Linked DNA regions of Macaca fascicularis. The protein of the gene in region 1 interacts with the protein of each later gene in a biochemical or structural test. Links are inferred from orthologs where the notes say so. Each region holds a gene or a part of one and is shown on either strand. Other genes may lie near its edges.

Evidence for each region.
Region 2: of the proteins of FYN (region 1) and ENO1, one has a biochemical effect on the other in vitro, tested with the Homo sapiens proteins (2 studies listed by BioGRID). The link is inferred for Macaca fascicularis from reciprocal best matches to the Homo sapiens genes FYN and ENO1.
Region 3: the proteins of FYN (region 1) and FASLG form a complex in vitro, tested with the Homo sapiens proteins (4 studies listed by BioGRID and IntAct, with this or other methods). The link is inferred for Macaca fascicularis from reciprocal best matches to the Homo sapiens genes FYN and FASLG.

What each region holds. Positions count from the first base shown.
Region 1 is NC_088378.1:15,714,402-15,718,825, reverse strand, and holds the end of FYN (tyrosine-protein kinase Fyn), read left to right. Parts: intron 1-3,125; coding exon 3,126-3,334; 3' UTR 3,335-3,787; downstream 3,788-4,424. UniProt on the Homo sapiens protein: Non-receptor tyrosine-protein kinase that plays a role in many biological processes including regulation of cell growth and survival, cell adhesion, integrin-mediated signaling, cytoskeletal remodeling, cell motility, immune response and axon guidance.
Region 2 is NC_088375.1:225,985,679-225,989,329, forward strand, and holds part of ENO1 (alpha-enolase), read left to right. Parts: intron 1-412; 5' UTR 413-421; coding exon 422-506; intron 507-3,384; coding exon 3,385-3,480; intron 3,481-3,651. UniProt on the Homo sapiens protein: Glycolytic enzyme the catalyzes the conversion of 2-phosphoglycerate to phosphoenolpyruvate. In addition to glycolysis, involved in various processes such as growth control, hypoxia tolerance and allergic responses.
Region 3 is NC_088375.1:30,271,074-30,273,911, reverse strand, and holds the end of FASLG (tumor necrosis factor ligand superfamily member 6), read right to left. Parts: intron 1,774-2,838; coding exon 1,379-1,773; 3' UTR 526-1,378; downstream 1-525. UniProt on the Homo sapiens protein: Cytokine that binds to TNFRSF6/FAS, a receptor that transduces the apoptotic signal into cells. Involved in cytotoxic T-cell-mediated apoptosis, natural killer cell-mediated apoptosis and in T-cell development.

The DNA.
Region 1 (4,424 bases):
AAGAGGAGTGGGGAAGAGCAGAGGGGTTCAGACAGGAAAAGGGGGAGAGCGAGAAGGAGCCTGACCCTGTGGGTCTGCCAGGGCCCTGCATAGTCCAGCTTATACCCTATCCCCTGGCCTCCAAATGCCCAGGAAGCAGACTGCCTCGGAAGACACTACATGTTGAGGTTCACATCACCAAGTCTGCTGTGTCCAAGGCTTGGACTGAGCACTGGAAAAATGACCCAGTGGCCAATTAAACTTTCCACTGGCAGACATTGGATGAAAACTTTATTTTTAAGTGAAATCTTTCCGTTTGAGTAGTGTTTTTTTTTTTTTTTTTTTTTTTTTTTTTTTGAGACAGAGTCTCGCTGTGTCTCCCAGGCTGGAGTGCAGTGGCGTGATCTTGGCTCACTGCAAGCTCCGCCTCCCGGGTTCACGCCATTCTCCCGCCTCAGCCTCCCAAGTAGCTGAGACTACAGGCGCCCGCCACCACGCCCGGCTAGTTTTTTGTATATTTAGTAGAGACGGGGTTTCACCATGTTAGCCAGGATAGTCTCGATCTCCTGACCTCGTGATCCACCCGCCTCGGCCTCCCAAAGTGCTGGGATTACAGGCTTGAGCCACCGCGCCCGGCTAGTAGTTTTTTAATGAAATGAAGCACGTACTGACATGCACTCTGTGGAGAATAGGAAAATGATTAAATTCTGTGCTGCCATTTTGGGTGGCGGCACTCAGAGCCAGCGTCAAGCATTAGGAGGCATTTCAGGGGCTGTACCACCCCCAGAAGGATCTGTCAGGCCCTTCTGCCTGTCTCCCCTCCAGTTCCTGTGGGCTCCTGGAAGGGACAGAGACACAGGAGATTTCTGCAGGTCCAAGCTCTGTCGTTGCTGAAATATGAAACCAAGGACTGTACTGAAAGATGCGGCAAGGCAAATGCTTTGGAGAATGCCAATTCTGCTATGTGATTACACACTCTTCCTTCCTAATCTTTCTGGGCAATACGTATGAAGAAATAGAAACAGTAAATAGTGTCGTAACCATTTCAGGTTTTGTGGCCAAATGAGGTCAGTTCAGATCAGTTCTGCAGTCAAGTGAGTTACAAAAACTTGATGGTGTTCAGAGCTTGTTGGATTGCGGAATTGTGGAGAAGGAAATGCTGGCCTCTGACCGCATTTGTCTAGAGCCCAAAGAGAAGCCTGCCTTTCATTCCCGAGCAGCTCCAGTTCCTCCCTTGCTTCCAGCTCCCCCGCCCCCATCCCCCGTTTTCAGCCATTGGAGGAGGATGTAGGCTAATTAGCCACAGTGCTGCCTCTCCCTCTGCCCAAGCAACTGAGGAAGTCACTGGAAAGGCATGCATGGCACAGAGGCAGGGACCCTGACTCCCTCACCAAACCTCTCTCTCTGAAATAAGGGGTCGCCCTGACACGTGAGTGAGGTTATTTTACGACAATTGCATTGAAGGCCTACTTCAGTACAGCAGAAATAATATATGAATTTTTATTATCTCAAGAAATGATCATGGCAGAGAGTAAGAAAGCATCCTGAAAAGGTCTGGAGGGACGTGCGACGGACGGGCTGTGGTTGACAGCCAGGAGGAGCCAGGATGCACTCAGCTCTGCAAGTAACAACACAACCACGAGGACTGGCAACAGACCCCAAAGTCTGAGTGTTCCCTGCCCAGGGGGACAGGCTGTGCTCTGGGCCAGCGCCTCTGGCTGTGCTGACAGGTTTCCAGCTAGCAGGTCACCACCTCCCCTGGAAGTAAAGGGAGCGAGCTCCATGCGTATGGTGTGTGCTCCTGCTGGCTGTAGCCCTGGGAAAGAGGGGAAGAAATCTTGGTTTCTATATGGCTTGACGTCGAGTTCTTGCTCCTGCAAATTAACCAGGTCAGAAATTGGGGAGGATTCCAGATGACAGCCTCACCAGCCAGGAAGCAACCAAAGGATAGCACAGCTTGACAGGGAGCTGCCAGAAGGTGATCTAATGAAAAAGGGAAGCAAAACTAGAGAACAGTGGTCGGCAGTAGTTGGGAAGAGGTCAGGACATTGGCCACCCCCTAAGCATGGTAGTTCCTGTAGTGTTAAGGCGGCCAGTGTGCAGGAGTCCGCACTCTCTAAGGAGTTAATGATCTGTCTTCTGTTAGTGCTATGCAGCCCAGTGTTTCAGCAGCTTCCCCAGAGTCAGGAAGACCTCAGATGATGGATGGCCTGGCTGAGGTCATCAGTAGAGATAGGCCCCGGACATGGTCTGTCTCCCCATCAGATTCACCAAACCTCAGGGCAGTGGGGTCACAGGGCCAGACAGTGCCCAGCCACGCTGGCATGATGGCAGATTTCCCACAGTGAGGAACTAGGAGTTTGCCCAAGCATGAGGAAAACAAATTTATGAAGTTCATAAATGGAGTTTATAAATGCTATAAACAAGGGGCAGCATGCTTTCATTCTGTGTGGATTTTTTTGTCTGCTTTATTCATATATTTTTGTCAGTTTAATTGAAGTATAATTTACACACAATAAAATTCAACAATTTTAAGAATGCAGTTTATTGAGTTTTGACAAACATAAACAGTCACACCACCCCATACATAATATAGAACAGGGGTTGGCAGATCTGGCCCCCAACCTGTGTGTGTTTTGTACATTTTTAAAGGGTTGTTAAAAAGAAGAAGACAGGGATCATATGTGACCCACAAAGCCAAAAATATTTACTGTCTGGCCTTTTACAGGAAAAGCTTGTTGACCCATTGACCCTGACACTGAACATTCCCATCCCACTTGGAGATCCTTCTGGCCCCTTTGCAGGGATTCCTCCCCTCCCCAGGCAGCCACTGATCTGCTTTCTGTAGATGTAGTTGTGCCTTTTCTAGAATTTCGCATAAATGAAATCATACAGTATGTTGCCTTTTGTGTCTGGCTTGCTTCACTTATATTGCTTTGGAGAGTCATTCTGGATTTTTGCATGTCTCGGTTCTGCACTCCTTTATTTCTGAGTAGCATGGCAAGGTTTGACTCCTGGGGGGAATGGGGGCACTTCACATGTTTTAGCCACCTGCAGATGCAAAGAAGAAGAAAGGGGATCTGCAAGTGTGGCGGTCAGGGCCTGGAGCCCCGGGGTGCCCACTCTCACTGCCCTTGTCTTTGCAGGCATGAACAACCGGGAGGTGCTGGAGCAGGTGGAGCGAGGCTACAGGATGCCCTGCCCGCAGGACTGCCCCATCTCTCTGCACGAGCTCATGATCCACTGCTGGAAAAAGGACCCTGAAGAACGCCCTACTTTTGAGTACTTGCAGAGCTTCCTGGAAGACTACTTTACCGCCACAGAGCCCCAGTACCAACCTGGTGAAAACCTGTAAGGCCCGGGTCTGCGGAGAGAGGCCTTGTCCTAGAGGCTGCCCCACCCCTCCCCATTAGCTTTCAATTCCGTAGCCGGCTGCTCCCCAGCAGCAGAACCGCCCAGGATCAGATTGCATGTGACTCTGAAGCTGACGAACTTCCATGGCCCTCATTAATGACACTTGTCCCCAAATCCGAACCTCCTCTGTGAAGCATTCGAGACAGAACCTTGTTATTTCTCAGACTTTGGAAAATGCATTGTATCGATGTTATGTAAAAGGCCAAACCTCTGTTCAGTGTAAATAGTTACTCCAGTGCCAACAATCCTAGTGCTTTCCTTTTTTAAAAATGCAAATCCTATGTGATTTTAACTCTGTCTTCACCTGATTCAACTAAAAAAAAAAAAGTATTATTTTCCAAAAGTGGCCTCTTTGTCTAAAACAATAAAATTTTTTTTCATGTTTTAACAAAAACCAATCAGGACAGGTGTTTGTTTTTGTTTTCTTTTTTATAAATATGAATATATATATAATATATATGTCCCTGTACATATACAATGTGGGTGCTAATGTGGAGACTGTGGCCAGCCTGGGCCACCAAGCTATGGGACCCAGAGGGAGGATTTTACTGTAAGTCAGCATCAAAGCACTGGTGTTATTCTGAAAACACCAGTGGCCTCATTTTTGGCTTTTGCAAAGCATGAATTTTTTCATTTGGATTGCACTTTCCTGGTTCATGACTGTACCTGTAGATGGCTGTTACTTTGACTCTTTTCAGGAACCGCCCCCCCCAGGCTGAATTTACAAGTTCTGTTAGCAGTATTTGCTTCAACTTACTGCCGTTTGTTCTCAAAACTTAAAAATAAGCAAGCAAATGGCTACCGAGAGAACTGGAAGATGGATACCACACAAACTTCTTGTATAAAAATATGAGTGCTGAAATGTTTCAGACATTTTTAATTTAATAAACCTGTAACCACATTTAAATGATCTAAAACCCATAGCATTGTAGTCATGGCAGCCTGCTAAACTTTCTCATGCAACTAAAATTTCTGGGGGAAATGAGGGTGGGGGTTGCACATTTCCCATTGTAAAATAAGTGTTTTAAATG
Region 2 (3,651 bases), on another chromosome or scaffold:
TCTCCCTCTCTCTTTTTTTTTTTCCTTTTTGCTTACAGAACAAGACCTCAGTTGCTGTGGTTTAACCCATTTATGCCGGAGGTTGCAAATCTTTTTTGTGAAAAATCAGGCCTTGGTGATGACTTGAGCAGTCAGATAAAAATAACTCCACACACTTAGCGTTCCAGTAATGGAACACTAGGCATAAATAGGTTAAGGCCTTTCGGAGCTCGGCCCTAACTACTTACTTAGGAGAATTCCCACTGCTTTCCAGCAGGCTTTTTCCCCCACCCTAATCAACTTTCCTACATCCAGTATTTAATTCAATGCCGATTGTTTGTAGTCCATGAACCTCAGAAGTGATTCCTTGAATGAGTGAGCAAATACAGCATTATGGCTTATGGAAAACATGAACTGTGTGTTTCTCCTACAGAAATTCACCATGTCTATTCTCAAGGTCCATGCCAGGGAGATCTTTGACTCTCGTGGGAATCCCACTGTTGAGGTTGATCTCTTCACCTCAAAAGGTATGTGCCACCTTCGTTTCCAGAGTTGCTTCTACCTCGCTTCATTTTACAAATTTTCTACAAATGCTGGAGCCTTAGGCAAAAAAAAAAAAAAAATATATATATATATATATATATATAAGCTTTTTTTGTATCTGCATATGCTAGTAGGTTGTGATTCCTGACTGTGAGGGTTGGGGGATTTTCAGGCATGGAGCCAGTGTCTTGCTGCTTCCTGGCTTTTTGTTTGTTTTTTGAGATGTCTTGCTCTGTCACCCAGGCTGGAGTGTGGTGGCATGATTTCAGCTCACTGCAACCTCCGCCTCCCGGGTTCAAGCAATTCTTCTGTCTCAGCCTCCCAAGTAGCTGGGACTACAGGCGTGCACCACCACGCCCGGCAATTTTTGCATTTTTGGTAGAGACGGGGTTTCACCATAGTGGTCAGGCTGGTCTCGAACTCCTGACCCCAGGTGATCCGCCCGCCTCAGCCTCCCAAAGTGCTGGGATTATAGGTGTGAGCCACCACGTCTGACCCTGCCAGCTTCTTGGCTTAAAACCACATAAGTTGACTCCTAAGTCAGTTGAGGTGATAGCTCACTGAAGTAAGGTATTACCATACTTTTCCCTCATGAAGTAAGGTGATACCATGAGGGAAAGAGATGAGGGGAGGGCCAGTAGACGTGAATGTAGCACCCTTATCTCTGTGTCTAGAAATCACTCTTTAGCAAGGATCAAGGACAGTTTTTACCTGTGGGCTCTGGAATAGTGCAGAGGCTCTCATTTTTGCTTGGCTGTCAGTCCCCATAGGAGGAGTTTTCTTATGAAAAAATAACAGAATGGTGAAACTCCTTCTTTTTTTTTTTTTTTTTTTTTTTTTGAGACGGAGTCTCGCTTTGCCGCCCAGGCTTGAGTGCAGTGGCCGGATCTCAGCTCACTGCAAGCTCCGCCTCCCGGGTTTCCGCCATTCTCCTGCCTCAGCCTCCCCAGTAGCTGGGACTACAGGCGCCGCCACCTCGCCCAGCTAGTTTTTTGTATTTTTAGTAGAGACGGGGTTTCACCATGTTAGCCAGGATGGTCTCGATCTCCCGACCTCGTGATCCGCCCGTCTCGGCCTCCCAAAGTGCTGGGATTACAGGCTTGAGCCACCGCGCCCGGCCTAAACTCTTTCTTTTAAGAAGAAAATCCAGTGCCTCTGTAGCCCTGTGTTACTTTCAGCACATGGTGCGATGGACAGAGTGGGTGAGGTTGGCAAAGGAGCTTCAGGCAGAATCACTCAGTGGTGCTAAACTCCCAGAGAACTGCCAGTCGGAGCTGAGTCATCGTCTGTGAGTCACAGGCCTGGCAGTGGAACCCCAGCCCTTCCCTTCCCCTTGCACCTCCCCTACCCCTCAGGAAGAAAGGATCCTTGAGGCCCGACTTCATTGGGCTTCTGAAGAATGCCTGTGTTCTGCCTTTGGCTGCTTGCTGTGTGGGCTCTCAAGCACAGTGGGTTTTCTCTAGGACACTCGCTTTATGGGGAATCCTGAGGGCTCTCACAGGATGCTGAGAATTCCCTTCATCCAATAAGATTGGTTTGCTTAGTGAATGGGTGGAACTTTCTGCTTAGAAATTAATGAACTTTTTTTTTTTTTTTTTTTTTTTTTTGAGAGGGAGTCTCGCTCTGTCGCCCAGGCTGGGGTGCAGTGGCCGGATCTCAGCTCACTGCAAGCTCCGCCTCCTGGGTTTACGTCATTCTCCTGCCTCAGCCTCCCGAGTAGCTGGGACTACAGGCGCCCGCCACCGCGCCCGGCTAGTTGTTTTTTGTATTTTTTAGTAGAGATGGGGTTTCACCATGTTAGCCAGGATGGTCTCGATCTCCTGACCTCGTGATCCGCCCGTCTCGGCCTCCCACAGTGCTGGGATTACAGGCTTGAGCCACCGCACCCGGCCTAATGAACTTTAAAGCAACAAAAGACCCCAGACGCTAAAAGATTGTTGGGAGGCGGACATTTTGAAATTGAAATGAATGGAACTTTCTTACATTTATTAAACTGCATTTTATTATGTTTATTCCTTCCCCCCACATCTATCCTGTTTGCCAGTTTCCAGTTGGGCATAGAACTCCCAAAATAGGATTTAGCATTGTCCAAACTGAAGCAAATGAGCTAGATACTCTTCCTGAACCAGTTAAATTCCCTTGATTTTATGCTTAACATCAATATAGTACCTGCCTGGGTGTGATGCTCACGCCTGTAAACCCAGCATTTTGGGAGACCGAGATGGGCAGATACTTGAGGTCAGGAGTTCAAGACCAGCCTGGCCAACATGGTGAAACGCTGTCTCTACTGAAAATACAAAAATTAGCCGGGCGTGGTGGCATGCTCCTATAATCCCAGCTACTGGGGAGGCTGATGAAGGAGAATTGCTTGAACCCAGGAGATGGAGGTTGCAGTAAGCCGAGATCACCCCATGCACTCCAGCCTGGGGGATACAGCGAGACTCTAAAAAAAAAAAAAAAATACCAGAACATCTTCAGTTCCCTGTGTGCCTTGCATTGGATTTCTCTTGGGCAGTGCTGCTGGGGTAATCCACAGGGCACCAACGCGAGCTTGTGAGGTACACATATTTTCCTGGGTCGGAATCTACATTTTAACAAGACCCCCAGCTGGCATGTAGGCTCTGCTATAGAGCACTTTCTTTCTGCTAGAGGAATCAGTCATCTTTGCAGTAAAGTCTGCAGTACAGGATCATAAATATGTGAGAGGCACGAAGAACAGACCAGAGTGTTTAATTCACGCAGGTGGTAGGAGGAAGAAACAGCTCCCTGATGACAAATGCATTTGTGGGCGGGAGGGGACTTGGGATTGTGCTGGAACTGGATTTCTGAATTGCTACTATGACTTTTTTTCTTCTCATCCAGGTCTCTTCAGAGCTGCTGTGCCCAGTGGTGCTTCAACTGGTATCTATGAGGCCCTAGAACTCCGGGACAATGATAAGACTCGCTATATGGGGAAGGGTAAGCCTTAGAACCCACAGCCCATGGCCTCCCTGCCTCCAGCCCCACTCCTGGCCTTGCCCAGTCCTGTCCTTCTCTCTGGGTGGGGCTTGCATTTGCAGGTTTATGGCAGGTAAACCTACCGTAACCCATGATGTTGATGGAAGCAGTGCACCACCACGTGGACAGGAA
Region 3 (2,838 bases), on another chromosome or scaffold:
ACAAGGTGTTTACATGGATCCCACAGATCAGTGGCCTCTGGAGAATGAAGTGGCTCTAATAGGATGGCTTAGTAGTGGTAGAAACCATTTTTTGATATTCTATATGTCTGATACTTTCAGCTCTTTTTTTGTTCAAGGAAGGTCAAGTGACCTAACCAGTGATTACCTAGGCAGTACATGGAAGAACAAAGATTCAAATCTAAGTTTTTTAGTCCAAAGTGTGTGCCCTTTCCACTGTGCCGTAGTTCTGCCTTCAGGAAAATATAATTTCTCATCAAATCCATGGAAAGTTGGGTAAGCTTAACACTGGTCACAATATTGGTAACGGAAACTCTGGGAGGTGAAGAGGAAAGAGAATATATATAGAGAAGGAAGCCTTGGCAAAGGCAGAAAGATTTGCTTCATAATTCTTCTCACCCCAGTAAATTCTTCTTAAAGTTGTCTGACATCATAATGAATGAAGAAACCATGGAGGAAAGAAGTAATAAGCAAAAAAATTCAAGTATTAGTAAATTCTAAAAATTATTTGTATCCTAACATATACTTTTTATTATATGTTTTCTTTTCCCAAAAAGCACAACATATATATAAATATTTATTATATTATAGGAAAACATCTTCAGTAGCTGACAATCAATTATTTCTAAAGACTATTAGAGTTGATTGTCAGGAAGCATTCAAAATCTTCACCAAATGCAACCCATATTTTCCTAATATGTACTTCACAATATCTATATTCTCTCTTTAGACACACACACACACACACACACACACACACACCTACAATTGCACTGGAAATACACAGGCTGTGTTAGGAATGGAATGAGTCCCCAGAATATCTCTCTTGTTTCTATGTTAGCTTCACTGATGGCTCAGGAGATGCGTTTAGAAGTGAAGATGCTGCCAGTGGGGCATTGGCCTCTTTCAGCCTCTTTAGCTTATTATGCAAGCCTCTAGTCCTCCTTTTCCATCCCTTAAACCCTCAGGTCACAACCATGTATCTGAAAGACAGTCCCCCTTGAGGTAGCAAGGCCCACCCTGAGAGGTGAGTTAAAAGGTGTCCTTTTCAATGTGCCCAAATACTCTCAGGCACTAAGATGAGTGTAGAACACCTGGTGGCTGCTTTTTCATGCTTCTGCCTCTTCACATGGCAGCCCAGAGTTTTACGTTCTTCCGTCATATTCCTCCATTTGTCTGGCTCATAAACGTTAGGTGAGTTGAGGAGCTACAGACCTTTTGAACCCTGTGGTCTCAAGGTCCACTTGGTTCACGTCTTCTTACTTGACCTCAAATGCATGTAAGGAGACCCTCACTGAATACAACATTTTCAGTGCCTATAACAAAGAATAATAATGGAAAGAATCCCAAAGTGCTTTCCTTAGAGCTTATATAGGCCAAAAAATGTCTGAGATTCCTCAAAATTGACCAGAGAGAGCTCAGATACATTGACATATAAATGATCAGCACTGGTAAGATTGAACACTGCCCCCAGGTAGCTGCTGTGGGCCCACATCTGCCCAGTAGTGCAGTAGCTCATCATCTTCCCCTCCATCATCACCAGATCCTGGGGATACTTAGAGTTCCTCATGTAGACCTTGTGGCTCAGGGGCAGGTTGGTGCAAGATTGACCCCGGAAGTATACTTTGGAATATACAAAGTACAGCCCAGTTTCATTGATCACAAGGCCACCCTTCTTATATTTCACTCCAGAAAGCAGGACAATTCCATAGGTGTCTTCCCATTCCAGAGGCATGGACCTTGAGTTGGGCTTGCCTGAAATAAATCCGAAAGGAGCTTTCAGCCAGGAATAGTCATGCATCCAACAAACTAAGTTTCTAAGGCAAAACTGTGGGCCCTTCCTTGAACAAATGTTCTACTCAGAATTACAGCCTGTATAGAACTGGCTGAGGGGTCAGAACTTGATCCATCACAGAATTTCCTCAACATTGTTGTCCTATTTTGTCATCCACACAATTAGAACAATAGTATAGTCGCCTAATCCATTGCAGTAAGAAATTATTGAGAAAATATTAGCTCTCTGGAGCACAAAGATTTTATTATCTTCAGAACTAGCACCCAAACTGCTAGGCTTTGAAGTCCTTTCCTGAAGAAAAAAGCCAAATCCAAGGAACTCTAAAATTCTAAAGTTGGGAAGGATCTTAGGGACCATCTGGTCCATCATCTCACCTGCAGTAAGAATTATTCAGCCCCTCAGTTTGGGGTACAGTTTCCTTTTCTTTGTATCCCCACAACGTCATGAACATAACCTAAATCTCTGCAGTACTGAAATTATCATAAATGCCTGTCTTTCCCTATTAGATGTCAAGCTCCCTGAGGGCAAGAGCCATATGCTACTCATTTTCACATCCCCAAATTGGTGCACATCAGGTATTGAGTAAGTGTCTGCTGATGTGACCGGATCATTCTACAATTTCTGCCTAAATAATTCCAGGGACAATAGCCTACCACTTTCTGTGATATTTATTCCATTATTTATGATTTATTTTTTTGGGAGTTTATAATGGGAGTGCCCATACCATATCATTTCACTCCACTTTACAGGCACATATTGAAAGTCTACAAGTGCCAGGAGTGAGTCTCCCTTCTTGCTCCTGTTTATACTCTTGGACAAAGCAGAGTGAAGCTCTTCCAAAAAACCAAGAAAGCGCTGACTAAAACAAGTCCTCATTCCTCACCTTCTCAGCTCTCACCTCTTGGATCTGTGCCCCCAATCACCTAAGGGACTTTGGAATGACTGAAAAGAATGAGCTCCTTATGGGCACGGGTCATGTCATAATCAGCTCCAGGTCTCCAATTTAGAAGGCCTTGCCCAGAGAA